3 linked regions of the Arabidopsis thaliana genome follow. The protein of the gene in region 3 interacts with the protein of the main gene of each other region in a pairwise test. Each region holds a gene or a part of one and is shown on either strand. Other genes may lie near its edges.

The links. Proteins that work in one complex are often made in the same cells at the same time.
Region 1: the proteins of AT1G51355 (region 3) and HDG1 interact in a two-hybrid assay, tested with the Arabidopsis thaliana proteins (one large-scale study listed by BioGRID).
Region 2: the proteins of AT1G51355 (region 3) and UPP interact in a two-hybrid assay, tested with the Arabidopsis thaliana proteins (one large-scale study listed by BioGRID).

What each region holds. Positions count from the first base shown.
Region 1 is NC_003074.8:22,628,799-22,637,615, reverse strand, and holds HDG1 (homeodomain GLABROUS 1), read right to left. Parts: upstream 7,286-8,817; 5' UTR 6,848-7,285; coding exon 6,677-6,847; intron 6,599-6,676; coding exon 6,390-6,598; intron 6,307-6,389; coding exon 6,189-6,306; intron 6,119-6,188; coding exon 5,432-6,118; intron 5,338-5,431; coding exon 5,239-5,337; intron 5,148-5,238; coding exon 4,947-5,147; intron 4,545-4,946; coding exon 4,367-4,544; intron 4,143-4,366; coding exon 3,775-4,142; intron 3,137-3,774; coding exon 2,741-3,136; 3' UTR 2,461-2,740; downstream 1-2,460. Other genes in the region: AT3G61160 (Protein kinase superfamily protein), read right to left, coding at 79-135, 221-295, 380-652, 735-794, 895-987, 1,080-1,238, 1,345-1,407; FUS6 (COP9 signalosome complex subunit 1), read right to left, coding at 8,721-8,817. UniProt on the Arabidopsis thaliana protein: Probable transcription factor. Promotes cuticle development probably by modulating the expression of the downstream genes BDG and FDH, possibly repressed in a CFL1-dependent manner.
Region 2 is NC_003074.8:19,954,130-19,960,992, reverse strand, and holds UPP (uracil phosphoribosyltransferase), read left to right. Parts: upstream 1-1,917; 5' UTR 1,918-1,986; coding exon 1,987-2,124; intron 2,125-2,143; exon of another isoform or gene 2,144-2,236; coding exon 2,237-2,338; intron 2,339-2,425; coding exon 2,426-2,504; intron 2,505-2,734; coding exon 2,735-2,793; intron 2,794-2,883; coding exon 2,884-2,961; intron 2,962-3,051; coding exon 3,052-3,133; intron 3,134-3,240; coding exon 3,241-3,289; intron 3,290-3,365; coding exon 3,366-3,427; intron 3,428-3,590; coding exon 3,591-3,658; intron 3,659-3,730; coding exon 3,731-3,786; intron 3,787-3,880; coding exon 3,881-3,928; intron 3,929-4,009; coding exon 4,010-4,079; 3' UTR 4,080-4,403; downstream 4,404-6,863. Other genes in the region: AT3G53910 (malate dehydrogenase-like protein), read left to right, coding at 547-568, 769-1,028, 1,093-1,137; AT3G53890 (Ribosomal protein S21e), read left to right, coding at 4,944-4,993, 5,108-5,240, 5,346-5,411; AKR4C11 (NAD(P)-linked oxidoreductase superfamily protein), read right to left, coding at 5,822-5,908, 6,008-6,256, 6,346-6,621, 6,790-6,863. UniProt on the Arabidopsis thaliana protein: Uracil phosphoribosyltransferase (UPRT) that catalyzes the conversion of uracil and 5-phospho-alpha-D-ribose 1-diphosphate (PRPP) to UMP and diphosphate.
Region 3 is NC_003070.9:19,038,090-19,045,326, reverse strand, and holds AT1G51355 (cyclin-dependent kinase inhibitor SMR3-like protein), read right to left. Parts: upstream 3,931-7,237; 5' UTR 3,853-3,930; coding exon 3,502-3,852; 3' UTR 2,913-3,501; downstream 1-2,912. Other genes in the region: DABB1 (dimeric A/B barrel domainS-protein 1), read right to left, coding at 487-1,119; AT1G51350 (ARM repeat superfamily protein), read right to left, coding at 6,589-6,642, 6,733-7,011, 7,088-7,237. UniProt on the Arabidopsis thaliana protein: Probable cyclin-dependent protein kinase (CDK) inhibitor that functions as a repressor of mitosis in the endoreduplication cell cycle.

The DNA of each region.
Region 1 (8,817 bases), on a different chromosome or scaffold from region 3:
CAACAAGACATCACTACTCATTGTTTTCATATATAACAAACAACCCCTGAAAATCCCATTAAGAGCTATGAAACATACCAGCATTTTGGCGCTCCCAAAATCGCATATCTTTACTTCATGCGTAACATTATTGACCTGCAAAATGCATCAACATTTCTCAAATTGAGTAAGAAAAGTAGTACTAGCTTTACAAGAACTAGTCTTAAAATGCTGTGCTTACCAACAGATTCTGCGGCTTAATGTCACGGTGACACACTCCAACCACTTGATGCAGATAATTCATAGCACGGCAAATCTGGTTTCAACAAACAAATGTTTCTCAGAACCCCAAAAGTCAAAAATAGAGCTGAATGCAGAAAAGAGTACACGGTCTTAATACCTGATAGGTGTAGAGCTGAATATAAATCAAAGGCATATGCTGATTCATCTTGGTGTAAGATCTGGAAGCGCGGTAAATAGTCTCGGGTACATACTCAAGAACAAGGTTAAGATAAAGCTCGTCTTTCTCAGTCGTGGAAAAGAAAGAATGCTTGAGCTCAACGACATTAGGATGATCAAGCATTCGCATGATCTGAAGTTCTCTGTTTTTGTATCTCTTGTCCTGTAACACTTTCTTTATTGCTACTTTTTCTTCCGTCTCTAAGCACTTAGCCTACATCAAAACCAGGAATCAACTTCAAAATCAAATTTTTAAAACAACTAAATAAAATATCTCGAGTCTAAATTTTATTTACCTGAAAGACAACACCGAATGAGCCAGTGCCAATTACATGTTCAGCTCTGTAAGAGATTGTCTGCATAATAACAAACAATATATAAAAAAACAGATTTTCATGGAGAACAATTTTAGAAATGTGTCATTACAAAGAACACAAGCCAAAACTGAAAAGTCACCTTGTCTTTTTGATCATTCAAACCCTTCTTTTTGGTGGTAATAATCCGTCCAGATTCTGTTCCATTTCCCTTGATGATTCCACAGTCCATATCCTATCAAATCCATTTGAACCATTAGCTCAAAGATCAGAGAAACAAAGCAAATCAGAAACTCAAAAGGCTAAAAAAATCTCAAAAATGGAAACCTTGTCATCTCCAAGTCCCACCTCACGGATTTCCTTTGGTAAATGATCAGAGTTCTCTGAGGAAGAGACAGAATCTTTCTCGTACGACGTAGTTTCCGTAGACTCTGTTTCTTCACGATTCTGGTTAGGCTTTGATCTCGGCGTCTCAGTTTCTCCTACCTACGCAAGTTACAAAAACAAAAGAGTCCAACTTTAAACAATCCCCAAATCAAGAAAATAAATACAAACAAACAAAAAAAACTCAAAAAGTTTCAATATTCTTTACGTTATCAGAAGAAACGAAATTACGTCCAGAGGCAATACTCGTTAATCTCCGCACCACATTCATCGTTTTTTTCTTCTTAAAAAAGCAGAAAACAATTCCAAGGAAACAGAGGAATTAACAAAAAAAAAAGTGGTTTCAAGAACACCAAAAGATTACACGAGAAGAGAAAGAGAGAAAGAGAGAGAATCGCTTAGCTGCCAATTCGTCTCTCCTTCTTCTCTCTTCTACCAGAAAAACGAAACAAAGATAACAAAAAAAAAATGATCTAAGGATTTTTCTTCCTTAATCAAAACTCTCTGTGTATATATACAAAAACATATTTATAGAAATATCTATATATATCTCTGCGGCGGAGCGGATATAGCTTAAACTAAAAAAGAACAGATGGCATTTCTCGCCATTGGTCTATTACACAATTCCAAGACCAATCAATCATTCTCATACCCTTAATTTCTGTTCAGAGATCATCACCCCACAAGAAAAAAATGGAATTAAATAATCTGTATTAGATACGATCGTGACCGTTTGTTCATTCAACGGTGGCGATCGAACGTTAAGCGCGCGGATTATTCGGAAGTTTGACTCTTCCTTTTGACTCTTTTCTTTCGGCCCGTTTGTAATAATAATATTATTGTCGTTTGTAATAATAGTATATACTCCAATGGACTTAAAATCTAGCCCAATAAATTAGTTAATGATTGGCCCAATACACTTTGAGAAGACTTACTTGGTAGCCATAATAGAGTAGTTAATGACAGGCTTTAGATAAAAGCCCATTAGTAGCCTGTGGTCTCTTCTGATGTGACCTTTGGATCTAGGCTAGCATTATCAAACAATCTCTAAACCAACCTAATCAATTAGCCTTTCGTTGTAGTTGTCTACATTGCATGGATATAATAACTATAAGGGATTGCAACTAAATTCATGCACTCACGTGTTTCACTCTTCTTCGTTCGTTCCTTTTCCATCTTATTGAGAAAAGTACTGTAAACTTGGAACAACATTAAATAAAGGACACGGTCCAAACCAATCCTTTCACATTATAAACTACCACAAAAGTAAACACGGATTGTGCTTCTGGTTGCCTTGATTTATAACCAAAAAAATGATAATACGTTTTTGCTTATAACTAATTATTTGAGCTCCCCTAAAAAAAACTTGTGTGTTTCATATAATGCTGTCCCGATATTATCGAGTCATTACAAGAAGAGAAACAAGAAACAATTACATTTCATCGACATGATCCAAAATAAAACCGATCCAAATTACAACATTCTTTGTTTTTTTTTTTTTTTTAAATTTCATCGAGTCAATACCCGAACCATCACAAAAACGGATTCATCACAAAATGAGGTTCGTTCTTGACTCAATCTCCTCCATCGTCTGATCTCGATGATCAGGTGCTATCACAATGAAGAGCAGCTTTAATCTTCTGAACGGTGCACGATATCAAATTATTAACCGTCTCCACAGATTCCACCGTTAGCTTAGCCGTAGGCAAACTATTCACCAGTATCTGAAACGCCACCGTTAGTAACGACCCTCCTTCCTCCATGCACCCACCGTTACCAATACTGTTACGTTCCTCTGCGGCGCAGCGTTGCGTACCAGCCTGACCGTTAGGGAGAATGGCGAATCCTGAAGGAAGGAGTGCCACGTAAGCAGAATCTCCACCGTTCATCACAGCTTGCATTGCTGGGATATCAACAGGCGCGTACACGACAACCGCTCCTGCAGCGTCTATGCTTGTCTCTTGTAATATCAGCATACTACTCTGATTCGCATTTATCGCCTGCATGAAAAAATCAAAACAAAATTAAATAAATGGAAACTTTGGTGGTAGAAGAGAAAATTATAAATCCCAAAAGGGGAAACAATAAATTAAAAGATGATGAACGAGGAGACTTTTACAGTGTCACCGTCACAAGCCAGAAAAAGCTCAAGGGGTACAACGGAGAAAAGACACCAATAATGCAGAAATAAAGAGAGAAAAAAACAGAGGATTTTTCAAAACGTCGGAGCCAAAAAGGAAAGAAAAAGGTCAAAAATGTCTTATTACTATTGACTTTTATCACACAATACTTCCAAATTCTAGATTTGTCACTTTCCAATCACACGCGACAAGATTCATATGACAACACCATCCTGGGGTCACACAACACAACAAAGTCCTTTCATACACTGTTTATAGATCAAATATTCAATGTCCACACAAGTCGGTTTAACTTTAATTTATCTAAAACCAACCCAAAAAAATCAGAAAAAGTTGAAAACCGTAAACAAAAAACTAAACCGACTAAAATTTCAAGTTTTCCAAAACCATCTAATGTTTATAAAATACTAAATTCACCAAAACCTAAACTAAAATTTGGAGATTAGCTTAGCTACTTACGCATGCAAATAGAAAGTGTAATAAATATGAATGCTTACGCTGGCACGGAGGAGGGAGACGGAGTTGGAACGGTCATGGCCTTTAGCTATATGGGCCATCTCTTTCATTGGTCCACCGTTGGATAAGATATCCCATTCCGATCTAAGCCGTTCGTTTCCAAGGAAGTCAAACAACCGCCTCGGAGATACCGGCATCCAAACTGACGTCGCCGCATTTAGAATTATCCCAGGCGGCTCGCCAGGATTGTTTACACTCTTCCTAGTCATTATCCTAACGTCTTCGTCGACGTTGCCAACGTTGAGTTTGCTCCATTTCTGTAACGACGAAGCACAAACCCCTCCACAGAAATTATCAGTCATCCTCTTCGCTAGCTTTAGCATGCTTTTTCTCCCATTGCAGTTTATAGCTGTGCCCATTAATATAACCAAAAAAAGATTAATTAAACTATATAGTTTGATAATTACAGAATCAACAGCTATCATCTTTTTCTTTGTGACTCAGTCAACAGTTCATACTATTTATTAAATCTTATTTATTCTGGTAGGATAAGATATGAATCACGTCAACAACAACAAACAAATATATATTTCTACAAAATAAATCAGAAACGCAGCGTTTGAGGGAGCTTACGGGATGGATTAGTGGAAGTGGAAACAGTGGAGGACATGAGAATCGTGAGGCATTCGCATTGACGTTGTAATGCAGCCATCCATCGATGCGCACCAAACGCTAGACCGCACCTGAGTAATGGGCGGTATAAACGGTGGATGTGGTTTTCGTCATACTCCGTGTGCTCGATCCATGTTACCTGCAAATTTCTTAAACTATTTTGCGTTAGGTTTATCACAATCGTTTTTTTAGGTCTAATGTCAGCTTTAACACATAATTAATGATAATCAAAGAGAAAAACTTCTATGAACGTGTAATGATAAAAATTAATGCACGATCCAAGGGCACAGAACTCGGAGATATTTAGATGCTTCTGATCAATAAAATAATCCTACTCCAATGCATAAGTTAATTTAAAGTTATAAACCCAATGCATAAGAAACCTTTATCATAATTTCTCGGACAAAAACAAAGAGCTTGCCTGTGGTTCCTAGAGAAATGTGAACCAACCAACACTAGGGTAACTCCTAAAGGTGAAAAGTTAAAACTATACAGTATACTACTATTACAAATAATCATCACCCAGAAAGAATAATTTTACCTTTGAGTAGCCATTGGCCATGTCTTGTACGAGGCAACCGGATGGTAATCTTCTACAGCTCGAAGAAGAACCTTCTCTAATGGAATCAATTGAGACATCCACGACTGCCCAAACACCTTCCGCGTGCTGTTTACAGAACCGCAAGAACGACACTTGTCTAACCGGCACGAGTGGAGACAGCAGTTGAAGCTCTGCGTGCATCTAATTAACCAAAAACAAAACATTAAAAGACCCATTTGTTGAATTAAGATTTTATATGTGTTAATTAAATGTTAAACGCATAATTACATACCAGGTGAAGTGCACCATTTCGCCCTCCCATGCCACTAGAGATAATCTCTGTGGTTGAAGTTCTTGAGACCATACTAGGAAACATTTCCGCCCACCGTTCCTATAAAAAACATTGTATCAAAAGATTAGTACTTTCTAGAACTTTTGCTGGATTAAGCTCATTACTAAAATTAAGTGTTTTAGTAACTACTCACCGAGTCCATTAAGGTTTCAACGAGCGCTAAGCTATTGATGATAACAGTTCCAGCTTCTTTAGAAGCTTCTGAGACAAACCCATCTTGTTTTGGTCCAACACACCGAGAGAAACTTGTGTCGTACTCTTCCTGGTTCAGCACTTCAAAACCAGAATCCGAGCTTCGAACCCAGAGCGGCTCACGTGTCTGAGCCATCTTCACAAGCTCATCCATAGCCGCAAGAGCTAAATCCAAATACCTCGATCTCTGATCAAAATCACTAACACTAACCGGTTGTTGACGGTTAACCGTAGCCACCAAACCAGAACCGGTTCCATTAGAAATCTCAAATCTAGGAGAAGCTTGAGGCAACAGCGGAGAAGAGAGAGTGAAACCACCACCAACATTACATCCACCAGAACCAACACCAACGCCGAGAACAAGTGCTGAGTCCGGTATATGATGTGAACCATTAGACCGGCCAAGAAACTTACCGGTTAAGGCACAGACTCGGTCTAACTCATCTTTGAGACGAGAGTTTTCAATTCTCAGATGTTGCTCTTCCATTGAGATCTCACCGATAACGGCAGGTCCGCCGCAATTACCACACATAGGGTTTCTCATAGCTTCGCGTACAGACATATTCTCAGCTCGAAGCTTATCGTTCTCTTGCCTCAACAAAGCATTCTCATGTCGTTCGATTTGAGTCTGTAAAAACAAATCAAAAATCAAAACAAAGAAACCAGAAAACAAAGATTAGCGATTCGAAGCTAAAAACCTTCATCTGAGTACGACGATTCTGGAACCAGAACTTGACTTGACGAGGATCTAAGTTAAGTCGACGGCTAAGATCAAGACGTTGCTTCTCGTCTGGATGTGCACACTCTTTAAAAACCCTAAAAATGGAGGATTCATCAAAATCAAAAATCAAAACGATTCGTAGAAGTGTAAATGGAGATTTTGTGTATAGTGAGTTTACGATTCGAGGTCTTGAATTTGTTTAGGAGTGTGACGATGGTAACGTTTCTTCTTCTTTAAAGGTCTATCGGAGGTATCTAAATCGTCACCGGAGACAGCTTCAGCGTTATCACTTTCAGATCTGCTTTCTACATCTTCTCCTCTACTACTCTTACGACTTACGTTTGACTCCATAATCTCTCCGTTTCTACTCATTTCTCCATTTGTTTGCTGCCAAATTTACAGAGATTATCATAAGTAGTAGAAGAAGAAGAAATCGAAGATTAAAAGAGGAGATAGTGAGCTTACGAGTCCGAGAGAGAGGCCTGAAGAAGAGAAAGGAAGAGACTGAGAAGGAGCAATGGCGGCGCTTCCGAGCATGGTGTCTACGGCGGAGAAAGAGAAGTGGTTGTTGTACGGAGCATCAGAGAGTAGCTTTGAGGCTCCAGCACCGTCGTCGAGAAAACCGTTGAAATTCATGAGATTTTAATAAAGAGGGAAATATTTAATGAAGATAGAAGAAATCCGCCATGGATGAGAGAAAAGCCCTAAGCTTTGTCGCTTCGGTGCATGTCCATGAATAGAAGATAGAGATAGAGATAGAGAGAGAGAGAGAACAGTAAATGAAAAAGGTAAAGGACGATAGTAACGACGAAAAAGGAAGATATAAAAGGTTCTCTGATTTGTTTCGTGAAATTAATTTACTTCAAAAGAAAAAATAAAAGAGAGAGAAGAGAAAAGGATAAAAAGGGAAAAGAAGAAGATGTGGAGTCATGGAAAGCCTTACACAACCTTTGAAAAGTTGGGTTTGACTCTTTTGACGTTACTCAACTCTTTTTGCTATAAAAGTCCACTTCAAGTGGTGAATCAACGCTGTCTTTCTTTTAAAATTACTGTTCTACCCCCTTCTTCTTGTGCTACTTTTTATTTGTAAATCCCAATTTCATCATGGGATGTGAGATTCTTCGTTTGTTGAGCGTTTCATTTGTCAATTCATTTGTTGAGCGTTTCATTTGTTAATTCATGTATTTCGGACATGTTTATTCACGATGACTATTGTTTTTGCATCGTGAATCGTACCTAAAGAGTTATGTTTTATTTTCCATAGCGAACAAGAAGTTGTTTATATTTGTATTACTCACAGTTTAGAAAGATGGTTATTAGTCTCCAAAAATAACTAATGCAAAGATCACAAATAATGAGATCCGGTTTTTGATACACAACCTATCAATTATACAAATTACTTTCATCAATGCAACCCAAAATAAATGGAGTATTGGGGTGAGTAAATTTAGAGTTGGCCCATCTTCCAAATTTGGCGGATTCTTAACTTCATGGTTTGTGAGTTTTGAGTAAACATGGAGTTATTGCGATGCTACCTAAGACTCATTTAAAAGGCAATATCATTCAATAGTTGATTAATAATGGACTGTCCATCTTAGAATAAAACCTTTACTTACTCTAAATGTCATCGACTCATTGAAACACTTGGTTCTTACAAAAAAGTAATCTTGCCCAATTTCTCGTTTGGTTCGAATCTTGAAAAAACACCCTTGAATATTCCTGGCAAACACAAACATATAGAAATATATATATATAAGATACCTCAAACTACAAAGAGAACAACTTCAAAGAAATGCATAGAAAAGAACTACTTGCAATAGTAAAAATAATAGTACCAGATAATGTGAACTATCCCATTCAGTGATAAAAATTCTATAGAAGAAACTAATAATGATGAAACGTAGCTATCGAGTGATTAATATCAAAAGTTCTTTGACACAAGAAAATCAAAAGTTCACACTTAGTCTACATGATGCGTTTGCCGACATCAAATCTTGGTTTTGCAATTTTCGAGATTCTACTTATAAAAAAAAGACCTAACCGTTTTGATTATTATTTCTTGTAGATAAGAAAAAAAAAAGTCTTCAACTATAGAGTGACAACTGTGCACAAAGCCACAAACTATCATATAATATACGACGTTTAGTTGACAAAATGAAATGGATATTAGTTGGGAGATGAGATTTTTGATCCCACCACCCACATGCATACAAAGATCATAAATCATATCGGCCCATGAAACCAAGTGTGTGTACTTATGTCTGTACTCTTTGACCATTTCACTTTCAGTGTGATTCATGCGTCTATAGATTCACACTCGGGATTTCATTCAAAGTCCATAGATAATTCAAAGAATCTTAAACTAAAAGTTGACAAAACAAAGCGATAACTAGAGAACAGAGAAGGTCAGATAGAAAGCTAACCAGTAACTAAACCAAATTAAATTTTAACAGATATCTTATGATCTTGGAATAGGCCATTACCTCTCAGTTTAGCAAAGCAGATGTCATCAAAGTTTCCTTGCCGATCTGGCATGATACTCATGTTTCAGGAGGTTGGCTCTTAACAGCATCGCCCTGACATCTCTATCGAATTCGTTTCCCATC
Region 2 (6,863 bases), on a different chromosome or scaffold from region 3:
GTGATTGTGTAATCTTGTGTGTTTATAATAGTAACATTGGAGATCCTCGAGTGTAAAATGTCTTGTACGGGGTTGTAAACTTATATAGTTATATTACAGTGAAAATAGATATTGTACAAGTTATAAAATCCTAACCACTTGGATAATCTACACATCCTTCGATTACTTTTACAATATAGCTGTATCAATTATCTTGCATTTGTGCAATTATTATATTGAATTTCAATTGAACCAATTATAAAATTTATTATGTAATTTAGTATTATATATTTTATCAATTATAAACAATTCATACTTTTTGCTATTATATATATAAAAAAATTTTAATTTTTAATTTTACTAATTGAAAAAGATTATATCTAACCACCTAACGACAACTCCTTTCTCGGATCAAGTTTTTTCTTGGTTCTTCTTTTCTCGGGGTACTTCCTCTCGGATTCTCTATGTCTCTTAACTCGGTCTAACCCGCTAAAGCTTAGCTCACATGCGGGTCATAAAATCCGATTACCTTTTGCGAAGTATGACCGAGAGTTGAAAGAAATTCGGATGTTCCTTAGAAACTCGGACCGTGAGTCCTTCTTTCTCGTTTAACTTGGAGTGTTCAATCGTCGGGTTGGAAGTGAATCGGATGATAATCACCTTCCTTCTCGTCTTTGTCCTCCGTTTTAAGTTTTTTTTCTTCCGTGAATTCTTTTTTTCTCTTCCTCTTTCGCGGGACTTAACATTTCGAGTTATCTCCGATCTAGGCTTCCCGATCTTTCACTTCAGCATACGCTATGATATCGTTTCTAAAGTCACTCATTCGTGCTCTGGACGGAGATGATGACGTCTTCGATTTTGCTTTTGTGGCCTCTTCGGTCACCGAGCTCCCTTATTTTGCTACGAGGACAAAGATTGGGAAGAAGAGAATTGAGGAAGTGATAGATTCAGATCTTCAGGGACTCGCCAAATACGAGGAGAGAGCGATTAAAGCTATCAAGCCGAGAGTGAAAGTTACCATTGAGAAAGACATCACTTTGCTACAGAGGGTAAGTGAATCTTTCTTACATCCACAAGACATGGTTCTATGTGTGTTGTTTCATCTTTCTCTAGACTTTTGTTGCTATTTCGGTTTACAAACTTTTGATTGTGGTTTGATCTTTCTCTAAACATTTTTTGCTGTATTTGGTTAAAGACTTTTGAGAATCTTCAAACAGGGCTTAGGACTTCTTAATTGTGCCTGAATTCTCAGACAAAGAATCCGTGTCTGGTTTGTACAGTTTCAGAGATTTGTTACAAAAACTGATGAATGAGTTGAAGAGGAGAAGAGTTAAGGAGTCTAGTCTAAATAAGTTTTCAAGTTTATTGTAATAGTAAAACCTCTATAAATTAATACTCGATAAATTAATAATCTATATAAGATTAATAATTTTTTCCAGTCCCGAGTTGGGACTGTAAAAAGTGACACAAATTGATAAATTAATAAAATAATAATTTTTTTGAAAATCCTATGTAAATATATGATCCCATCAATATTATAAATTAGTAATTGTATAAATATAAAATATATATATATCTAATATATTATATGTAAGAAATTTCTAATATTTTTTTGCTTAAACTCGTATTTGTTCTTATTTGAATTTAGTTATAATATTTTACTGTATCAAAACTTTTGATATTGTTTTATAGACATGATAATTATTTTTTACTTGCAATTGGTTTTAGAAAGATATTCTCTATGATGAAAAATATCTTGTAGAAACTTTTAAAAAGTTACTACATTAGAAAACTCTCTATGTAAATTAATAAATTATTTATTAATTTATTCCTTAATTTGTAGATTTCTGTTTGGAAAGAAATTGCTAAAAATTAATATAAAAGCCCAATGGGCCGTGTAATAAGTAGACCCAAAGTTATTCGGTACAGTAGTGACGACCGGTTAATCTTCGCCCGCGCTATCGTCATTGCAAAAATCTCGAACCAGATTCGGACATCTCGTCGAAAATGGCGTGCTCAATTGGTAACGCTTTCAGGTGTTCTTCTGATACGCTGCGTTTTGCTCCCCGACAACAATGCAGCAGCCGCCTAAACCCTAATCCTTCCTCTTTCCTCTCCTTTAATTCCTCCCCAATTCTCGCACAGGTATCGAGTATATATATATATTTATTCTAATGTCCAAAGCACACTTTTCCAGTAACGCCTTTTGCATATTCAAACTGAATTTTGATTTTCGAATTTCTGGATTATTTTAAAGAATTTGGGTGCTTCTTCTTCGTCACTTTCCCGACGGACTATACGAGCTAGAACAAAAATGGCTGCGTCGGAGGCTTCCATTAACGGGAGCAACAGGATGCTGGTAATAAAACTCTAGGATTTCAATTTTCAGATTTTTTTTGAGTTTGATTTGAAAGTGAAAGATGTGAATTTGATTCTGGTGTTTCAGGTCTTTGTGCCACCACATCCTTTGATCAAACACTGGATCTCTGTTCTGAGAAATGAACAAACTCCTTGTCCTGTTTTCAGTGAGTAGATAAGATTCTTATGAGTATTTCTGCGATTTAACCAGTGTTTGTTGTTAAAGAACTGAATTTTACATCCATTTTTTTTTTTTTTTTTTTTGATTCGTTGGACAATCTTTAGCTCTTAGATTGGTGTTATCTGCTACATTGCGTTTGAATATGAGTTTTTTTAGGTTTGCTACTAGTATAAGTCTGTGTTGATCTTTAAAGCTTGAGTTTTTTTAATTATCTAGGGAATGCAATAGCTGAACTAGGGAGATTACTCATGTATGAAGCATCACGAGAGTGGCTGGTGCGTAGAATTTCACATCTCTATTATTCTTGAATTCTTCCTACCCGTTTTTTGCTTATTGTTTTTTGTTTTTTGCTCTATGCGGTTAAGCCAACTGTTGTGGGTGAAATAATGTCTCCAATGGGTCCTGCTTCTGTTGAATTCATTGATCCTAGAGAGCCTATTGCGGTTTGTTTATCCCTCAAACTCTTCCTGTCTATATTTTCTTTTCGACCTTACATGTAAGCGTTTCTAATTCTTGGTTTTGTCTCTGTGTAGGTTGTTCCGATATTAAGAGCTGGTCTTGCTCTTGCGGAACACGCATCCTCAGTTTTACCTGCTAATAAAATTTATCATTTAGGTTAGTAATCTAGCTATATATCATCTCTTGCCTGAACTTCGGATGTCAAAAATGAAAACTTTTATCAAATAGCTTATTGATGTCCCCGTGCTTCTTTTCTTTTACAGGAGTAAGTAGAGATGAGAAAACACTTTTACCATCGGTGTATCTTAACAAGTAAGAACTTCTCTGCAGCATTGTGTTTGTAGTTACTGAAGTGTTTATAATAACACCTTTGATACATCTTCTTTAGGTTGCCTGATGAATTTCCCAAGAATTCAAGAGTATTTTTGGTCGACCCAGTGCTTGCCACAGGTAAGAAAGTCTTATCATTTTAGCCACCTCCATATTAGAAGTATAGTTAGGGTTTGATGTTCAAATGTACACGATAATATGTGAATGTGAACGCATGACATGGTAATACGAATGTTTCATAGCTAGAAGCGTAGGTTTAGTAACTTAGTAACTTGTATTTTAGGTGGTACCATAATGGCGGCGATGGATCTATTGAAGGAACGTGGTTTGTCTGTTCAGCAAATCAAAGTGGTAAGCATATATATAGGAAACAGCTTTTGTCAGAAATCGAAGTGTTAATTGTTTTGATTTTTCTGATTACAGATTTGTGCGATTGCTGCACCTCCTGCACTATCGAAGCTTAACGAGAAATTCCCCGGGTAATCAATAGCAAAAGATCAACTCTCACCTTGCTTACCATTTAGTTAACTCTCTTTTTACTAAACTGTTTGGCTACTATTTGAAACATTTCAGGCTTCATGTATATGCTGGAATTATTGATCCTGAAGTCAATGAAAAGGGGTAAGTCATTAGGTTCTTTGGCTTTCCATATGAAAACTGGCGATTGTATTTTAATGTCCTTATGTATTTGTCATGAACTAGGTACATAATCCCTGGGCTTGGAGACGCTGGAGACCGCAGTTTCGGGACAGAAACACATTGGGTGAAGTGATACTTGTATGAGTTGTTAAACTTTAACAGTCACAATCGTTAGATTATATATTGTGTCTCTTGTACTTTGTTTTTGATGTGTGATTTCAGGTTCTTGAGAGGGTTTCGATAAAGAGTCAAAATTTCACAAACAAGAAAAACTGAATTCCTCATTATTACAAAACAGAGAACAAACTTGTCAACCATTTTATGTGTATCATTCTCAATTGTCTACCACAAACCATTTTGGGAAAAAGTATGCAAGAAAATCTGAAAAATTCATCCATGAAGCAAACATTTGAACCAATAATAAAAGTTTGTTATCAAATTGAATGAACTTAAGTTACTACCAAACTGAACCAGTATTTATGGTTTGGTTACGTTCGATTCCGGTTACAATTAACTGTCGGTACAATTCTGGTTGAAAAAGTTTAGTATTTCGGTTTGATTTAATTTTGTATACCGCTCTAATTGGATCGGTTTTTATTGCTCTTCAATTAAAAGTTGAAGGGTATAGTAGTCATTCCTATGAAATAAGCAAACCCTAGCTCGCTACTATAAATCTAATAAACCTATGAATTAAGCAAACCCTATCTTTGTCGCCGCCAAACCTCTCTCAGATTCTTCTTCTTCCTCGCAGGTGAGAATTTCTCCGTAGTATCTTAATCTCCTTTCACTGTATTGCTAATTAACGCATCGGAATAATCTAGGTTTCGATTTCAGAATTAGTTATCTCGTTGTGTCTTTTGTTGATTATATATTATTGTTGAATGTGATCAATTATTCTTGATGAATCTCTTAATTCGAGGTTCTATTGCTCATCTGATTAGTTTTTTTGTTTGTTTACTTGCTCAGATCGATTTTTTTTTGAAGCTAAATCTCAAAAATGGAGAACGACGCAGGTCAGGTCACAGAGCTCTACATTCCAAGGAAATGGTATATATCAGCTCTCTTTGTTCTCTGTGTAACGTTTGATTAAAATCTTAAGCTAATTGTCTTAATTAAGTAGCCTAAGCTGATTCTATTGTTGTGTAATGGTAATTTGTTTAGCTCGGCAACAAACAGAATGATCACATCAAAGGATCATGCTTCAGTTCAGCTTAACATTGGTCATCTTGATGCTAATGGTCTCTACACTGGCCAATTCACCACTTTTGCTCTCTGCGGATTTGTCCGTGCTCAGGTTTGTGAATTTCCACTCTGCTAATTACTTTATAATCATCTCCACAGTTGTTATAACAAAGTTCATGATTGTATATGTATATTGACATTATGATTGCATCTGCAGGGAGACGCAGACAGTGGCGTGGACAGGCTCTGGCAGAAGAAGAAGGTCGAAGCTAAACAACAGTGAGAGACAATCTGACAATGTCATAAGCTCTTGTTTGTTTTTTGAGGTTTCGATTTATTAGCTATGTGGCTTTGTCATTGAATTGAAAATGTTAGTTTCTCTTTATGCGAATTCATGTTTTCGATTTTTCTGCTTTATTAAAGATAATTATTAGGCTTTGAGGCCAATGGAATCAGATTCTATCTACAGTCTAATACTCGTCTATATTTCTCTTTCAAATATAACTGTTAGATTATCTATCATCAACCTCTCGGATTAGTGATTTACTGTATGAACATAAGAGATTGTTAATATGTCTGCAAAATCCTACTTTTATTGAAAATTGAATCGTTTACACATTCTCGATCAAAGCTTAAAGCAGTGGAACTTTGTTCTTTTTCAACTTTAAAATTCAACAAAAGACATCTTTTGATTCAGATCTCACCATCCCAAAGCTCTTCAAGTGTTTTATAAGGACTCAACGTCTCATGAACAAACGACGTGCCTTGGACTAACCTAGCCTGCACAGAGATGATTCAAAATCCAAAATACAAGAGGTTACAGTTAAGACTACTCACAGATACGAAATTTGCAGAAATGTGGTTTATTGTTTCACTTACCTGCTCTATCTTGGAAAACTTGTCAAACATTTCTTTTGGAATAGACCATCCCAAGACATCAAAGTTCTCTCTGATTCTTCCTTCATTTGTGCTTTTGGGAAGTATACTATGACCCATTTGAAGTCCCCATCGAAGCGCGGTTTGTGCGGGAGACTTCCCGATTTCTTTAGCAATCATTTCAATAACCGGACTCTTTAAAACATCGGCCTTCACCCACGTTGTTCCAGGAGATCCCAATGGCGAATATCCCTGCCACAATCAACATTCACGAAGTGTATATAAATATGACATTCGGACTCATTAAATGATTTGGAAATGTTTAGTGTTTTAAAACTTACTGAGAGGTGGATCCCTTTGGACTTGCAAAACTCATGTAGCTTATGTTGTTGCCATGAAGGATGACATTCCACCTGGTTTACAGCGGGAGGAACACGAGCAGCCTCCACAAGATCTGAGAGTTTCTTTGTAGAGAAATTACTTACGCCAATGGCTCTTGCCTTGCCTGAATCAACCAGTGCTTCCATTGCTTTCCATGTGCTCGGAATATCGATAGGCATAATGTTCTCAGGCTTAAAGTCAACAGTACCTTTCTTCAACCGAACAGGCCAGTGCATCTTGAAAAAAATATCAAATGAAACAAATCAAAGTATAAGCAAGCATATGTATAGTTTCAAATCCAGAGATCCGGACAATTCAGGCTAGATATTGAAGAAAGGAACGGATCTTGAAAACTGTTAGAACTTATTAAAAAATCAGCATTTGTTCAAAGAAGTCGTGCTTACGAGATACAAATCAACATAATCAAGCTGCAGATCCTGAAGAGTTCTGTTCAATGCGTCCTGTACATCCGGAGGGT
Region 3 (7,237 bases):
TTCCTGAAGATTACTAAAAATCAAGAAACAGTTAAAAGAAGAAGAAGCATGAACTCACCTAATTGCAGTTTAATTATTACCTCGGCAGATCAAACCTATTCGTCTTCCTCTACGGTTATGTAGCAAGATGATGAATGAAGCCTAAGGCACCATCGATCCAAGTGCCTTTAACCACTGTGAGAATTTCAATTGCGAAAGCCTTGCCGTTTATCTCTCAGTTGGGGTTGATGAAAACGGTGTGTAGTGTTCGTGCTTCTAGTTTCATCTTAACTCTTATGAAACCGAGTTGGTCTTGGTCTAATATGATTAATACCGACGTAAATGAGCTTTTAAATGTGTTGAATAAAAAAAGATTTTATTTAATACATACGGCGGCGGCGGCGGCGACGACGACTGTAATCGACGAAATTACACCGGAGACCAAACTGGTTTAAAATTTCGGTTAAGGAATGAAATTGGAGCATTTTACAGGTACACTTAGAAGACTTATGAAGAAGACGGCACATTGAACTCAACAACAATGGTATCATCAACATAATCACGAATCTTATCATTCTGCAACTTCATCTGATCATCCACAGCCTCAATTTCACCCAAATCCCTAAAATACGAAATCGATCCAATAGAGAAATCTTTAGATCTCCCCGGAGAAAAGTTTTCTCCAACAGTAATCTGATCAATTCCTTCAAATTTCTCCTTCATCACTTCCATAATCTCCAATTTCGCTTCTTCCATGACATTCTCTTTCAATTTAAGAAGCGTGATTTTACCAATTGAACCAAGAGGCGGTGCTAGGGCTTCCGGAGCTTGTTCGGCGATCCAATCAACGGCCATGATATCTTCGCGAATCGATTCTGATTCCTTGACAACACGAACGTGATCGGGATGTATAGCGTAAGCGTTGAGATCTTCTTTGGATCTGTAACGGCTATGAAGGACGTGAGTGAAGTCGGAGGCGGTGGTCGTGATAAGGCGGTGGATTGAACCGCAGTAGAGGTGAAGCACTTGGTCGAGATTGACTAGTTCGTTGATTCCGTTGACCATGGAGTTGATCTTGCCGGAGTCAACGTCGTCGTCGTTGAGCTTGAATAGAACGACGTGCTCGACGATTGAAGACATGGTTACGACGACGGAGAAGAGATTGGATTGGTTTCGTAACTTTGGCCACTTATTTTTAAATTTGAAACAATTTGAGAGAAATTGATATTTATTGTAATTGGGCCTTAATGGGTAACTTACGGATTGTTACAAGCCCATTATATTTATACACTTCACATGTAGTGTTTGTTTGTAGGGGAGAATGGAACCTAGGATTCTTGTAAAGTTTGATTAGCTTTGACATAAACGTACGATTAGCTTTATTTATTTGGTTACTTGATTATCTTAGCAATGTAGTTAATAATATTTTACTTTATTTCATAGTTTAATGATTTTTTGGTGTTTATTTTGGGACGACGTATAATTTAATAATAATACAAAGACAAAAAGAGAAACCAAAAAGAAATTGATACGGACTCGAATCAAATCCTCATTCCAAGGTGATTTGTAGCTTTTAGGTACCTAATTGGATTTTTGTTTGTACGTGTGTGATAATATGCACCCGTGCGAGATCTTCCTTGCACACAAATATGTATACGAATACTTTTCTTATACTAGCTAGTAACTAGTACTCCCACCACCTATACGTAGGTTTTTTTTAACCTTAAAACTACTTTATGATGAGAACTAGTATAATATTGTACGTAACCTATGGAAGAACTTCGTTGAGTGTGATTTGAAATTAGGCCACCTTAGCCATATGAGCCTACATACTTGGGACTTGGCCACTTATTAGGAGTAACCTCAGTTCCAAATACGCCGTTAAAAATTGTTTAAAATTTTTACTTTTTATTTTGTGAAAGTACTTTGGATAAAAGGTTAATTGATTGACATTTAACACGGTTTCATGTACGGAAGAAATGTTATTAATTGATAAACACAAGAGTAAAATATTATGAAATAAAAATCAACAGAAATACAATAGTTAGAGTTTAACAGAACTTAATTATGCAGAAAATTCTTAAGGTAATCAAAATTCCATCTGTTTAAATGAATATATTTAACACATGTAACAAAGCTACTCGTTGGAAAAAAACGAAAAAAAAATAATAATAAATATTGCAAGTGTAATATCTTCTAAAATATATTAGCAAAACATTATGATTTTTCTGTACTGCAGATTCTCCCATCTATGTTGTACAGTCTCAAGTAACCTATTAATTGACGTCGAAACGAATAAATTATGCACGTAGAGGTGTAAGTTTCTAATTCTCAATCATGAGATTCGTACGTCATATGTTATCATTTATCCACATTATTGAAGTCTGAAGATTTTGTGTAGCAATAATTCGAAAAGATTAAAATGATGGGAAAGACGAATTAATAATTCACGTAGATATTATCAACGTAGCTATTGTGTCGTCTTCTTCTTACCTACTCTATATATAGAGATATAGTTTTATACATTCGTTATAACTTGTAATTATTAACTTTGCTCTTAAAAGGAATTGTGTGGAGAAAGAAAAGAAAAGAAAAGAGAAAAAATGATGAAAAAAGCCGCACGAGTCCTTTCATTGGATTCCCTTCGGAGATGTTATCGTCAGCTCCGACCACTTTGGCCATCCCTTGGTTAAACTGACATATCCTTCGTCTCTTGTTTTTTTCTTGTTTTGTTTTAACACTTTTACTTATTAACTAAATTCAGTTTATATAATTACAGTACTTATTATAAGGTAATTTCTTTAATTTCCAAACAAATTTGAGATGTAATTTTTTCAATCTTTATGAACTTTATATCCAATAAGAAACAGTTGAATCTTTTTATAACTTTGGATTATATCCAAAACTTTTGTGTACATATTATTCTGCATCCACTATTTTTTTGGCTTTATAGACCTTTTTTCTTCTTAGGAAACTTGACATATTTTGAACTCGGATCAAAAGTTTTGAATTTGAGCTCTTCACTCTGATAAAATTGGTGTTCTTTCATGAATTTCTGATGTACCCAATAAAAAGGAAATGGATTCAGAAGTACTTTGTATGGAAATTGTTTTTGATGAGATTACGTATAAAGTATTGAGGTAAAATGCAAGAAGAACAATCCAACTCCTAATTAACTCAAGCCAAAATACAAACCCAAAATAGAAACTGCAAAGCTAACAAGCCTGAAATGTTAGGAAGCACCATTCACTTACATACTTAACTAAAAAAGAGATAGGGTATTTGATTAATCATACCCTACCAGAAATTCAAACCCACCTAATTCAAAATTATCGAAAAAATTAAAAAAGAGCCAAGGAGGGAGAAAAGCAAAATAAGAAGAAGAAGAAGAAGAAGAAAAGAAGCAAAACCTCACACTACACTCTCTATAATATACTTTAAATATTATTGTATTTGAATCAAACTAGAAACTAGATATTGATACCATGATAATAATCACAAAACCCTAATTATAAACTTAACTTATTTATTATTTTGTTGACCAAGTGCGAAAACGAAGAAGAGCTCTACATCCGGAGGAGCAAAGAAAGCGATTTGTCTCCTCCTTAAAGCGCAGTTTTGCGCCACCTTTTGCTTCTTCGGTGCCGGTGGACACGTCAGCATCTCCGGTATTCGTGACTTCTCCGGAGTACAACATCCACTCTCTGCTGAAACCGGAGATGGCGTGGCCGTTGATGTGGGTGAAGTAGATGTTGATGACGTTGAAGTGACGTCACTATTGATACTACATGGAGGAGATGGGTTCTTGAAGTGGCTTCTTTTTCTTCTTCTTGTAGTTGTTCTTCTTAGTGGTTTCTTTCCTTTTGATGCCATTTTTGAGACCAGAATAAGAGAGAAGAGAAGGGAGAGAGAGAGCAAAAAAGAAGAGAAATGGGTGAATGTGAATCTATATATGAAGAGTGTGTATAAACCTTAGTGGGAGTTTTACTTTAAAGTTATTAAATTTGACTGGAAAAAGTTTCTATCAGAGGAGAAGAAAAAGCCAAGAAAGAAAAAGGTAAATAAAAAGAAGAAGAAGAGATTGCTTGGTATTTGGAAACTAAAGAGAAAGGGTTTCTTTTTGATGGACGATCAATGCATGAAATGTGAAATGGGTACGCTTTATTTTCTTCTTTTTATTTAAATATTCATAGAAGAAGAAATACATATGATAAAATAATATTGTCTTAGAAATTTAGAATTGTCAATTATCTCGTCATTAGTCGTTTTTCTAACTTTCCATCCTTTTTTTTTTTTTTTTTGTCAAAATGCTATTTATACGATTAACGCAATATGATTTTCCTTAATAATAAAACTATTTATCAAGATTTTTTTTCCTAATGATAGTATGTTTTTAAATGATATTTGAAAACGGTATTATTTAATTGGTTGTCCCCTAATAAGCTAAAAGAATCTAGATGAATATATCAAAAAAAGAAGATAAAGAAAAATAAACCAGCATGTAGATCTCCTTTTAACATGTACCAATACAATCTTTTCAACAATATTAAATTAAGAAGAAAACCCTTTAATTTTCTCAAAAAAAGATGGAATCAAATTACGGAAGAAATTATTTGTTGTGTTGTTGTTTCAAATGCATTTTAAGTTTGCGGTAAAAGACAAACACTATATATCTCTGATATTAAACATTATGTGTAAGTTATATATATTCAAATGCATGTGAACACCGTTAGTTAAAAGTAAACTATATAACAAAAAATTAGTTTATACTGCGTATAATATTACTCATATATATGTAGGCATGCTGTCACATACATATACTATTTTAAATAATAAAATTCAATTACATCCACAGCTTAGAACATTTAAACCTCTATGTATTAGTTAACAAAAAACAAGACAATTACAGTCTCCCATTAACTAAAAATGAGAAAGAAAAATACTTAAAAGAAGAGAGAGTTCCCGAGAGAAGAGTCTCACATTTGATGATTACGATATGTTTGTCTTCAAAAACACTACCTATTGGAGGTATTAGGTGGTAACTATAATTGCTACATATTGTTTCTGTTTAGCCTTAAGATATTTTTTCTTAATAAAAAGATAAAAAAACTGCATAATACAGGCGGAATAAAATATCATTTAACAAAATACTTTGATGCAATAATATAAATTCACGTGGGGTGGAATGGGATTTAAATTTAATGCATAAATGCATGGGGTTCTTTACACTCCAACTAACCCTATTATTTTAACCAAAACCAACTAACCTTTTTTGGGTTTAGTTGAGATTCTTGTCTCTGCAAATTTTAAAATGTGTATATACAAGTATGAATTTCTACAATTGTGGTAACTGTTCGTAACCATTTTTTTTGTTTATACGAGAGAAATATTTATATCTTGCAAAAAAAAAAGCTTATATCCCTAAAGAAAGTACACAGTGGTCGAGGCTGGATCTCATCATGGGATCCAAAACATAGGATTCACTGTGCACATACGGCGACTCGGCGAGTTAGATTCTCAAAGGCCATTTTACATAAAGACAAACATATTAGTATATTACAGAGCTAGTCTTTTTCTTCAAAACCAAGTTCAAGTTTTAGTAGTTATATAGACGTCTCTATACCATTTGTCTGGTTTATGACAAAAAGTTTTAGACGGTGCAGTAAAAAAAATTAGCGGTGCACTGATACAATAGCTCTCAAATTAAATGACTACAAGACAGAACATCGACAACAAATATACTCAATGTAGTTGTTGTTTTCTACTGCTTATGCTGCCAAATTCTAACCATTTCGGTGGTTAAAAATACATTGAATAAAGGGTGTGTATAACACCTTTATATGTAATCGCAGTATTATTTATATTTCAATTATTTGTAGTAAGCCATTTTAATTTTATGTTTTGCCACGAAAGTTAATAATAGGTCATGCGTGATTTGAACGCCAAAATGCCAAAATAAAAGATTAATTTGGGACATTGGTATCGACGAGGCAAAGAATTATTACTGATACAAAAAACACAGATGTTTTTTTCTATAAACTGAGAGATTTCAAACAATGAAACAAGTGAAGTTTTCTCAAGGCAAAAAATTAAAAGAAAAACAAAAATGTGGTGGATCTAATCTAAAAGTGGCACAAGTAAAGTAATAGTACAACTCCTTCTCACTGCTTTCACCTGCACACATAATACAAAAACTGTTTTGTTAAAAAGAAAAGAACATTTTCAGAATTTGAAATACATAAAATCTCATTTAACCAATTTTGATCGAGAAAAAAAGATGGTATAGCAAATGAATAAATCCTAGCATTCTGCTTTCAAAATGCTCTGATCAATTGTTTGGTGTATGCGGTTCCAGTTACGGTTGGTTCCAGTTACGGTTATGGCTATTTTGGGTAACCAGAAATGAACAGAACAAGCCTGAGAAAGCAAGTACCTGTTGAATCATAGGTGTGTCTCTGGAGCAGGAGAGATAATAGACGAATCATGATCATAAACTCTAGGCTCTGTCTCTCTTTTGCTATATGCTGAAAATTGAATCAAACCTAAATCACTACTGATATGTTCAGTGTTGTATGGTCTGTGTGTTTGGGAAAAGCAATATCGCTGTGTTTAGTAATTATCGCCAAAAGACATGGACTGGCCTAATACAGTCCTGATGCGAATCTGCAAAGCCAAAGAGATTGAAATAACATAGCTGAGTCAATGATAAGAGGTAGAGTATACAAGGTAACTAAAAGGGTAATAAATTTGTACCTTAACATCGAGGCAAGCGTCATTGACCATGTTTTTTAACTGGGGAATGATACCCGCATTCCGTAATTTCACATGCCGATCAAATGCACCGGGGCTTGAAGGACTAATGAGGTTTATGATTGTCCAGACTGCTGCTGACCGTAACTGGCTCTCGTCGCTCTGCAAAAACTTAAGCATGAAATTCTCTGATCCAGCTTTAGCTTGAGGAAACAGTTGCTCCATAACCGCTTCTTTATGTAACTCAGTCCCACTCGCTACATTCGTGAGCACATACATTCCCTGGGGAAAGAAAAACATTTTATATCAGAGATTTTGTTAATCTATTGATAAGGTATACTTTTTTCAATTTTGTCACCTGTATTGCCATTTGTGCCTGTGGAGCTTTCCTCAATTGCCTCCCAACAGTATCTAAGATAAGACCATCTTCATCAAATACAAACTCGATAGAGCTGATACATCCATCAACAAGATTACGGAGGAGGGCCAAAGCTTGCTCTTGCACTGG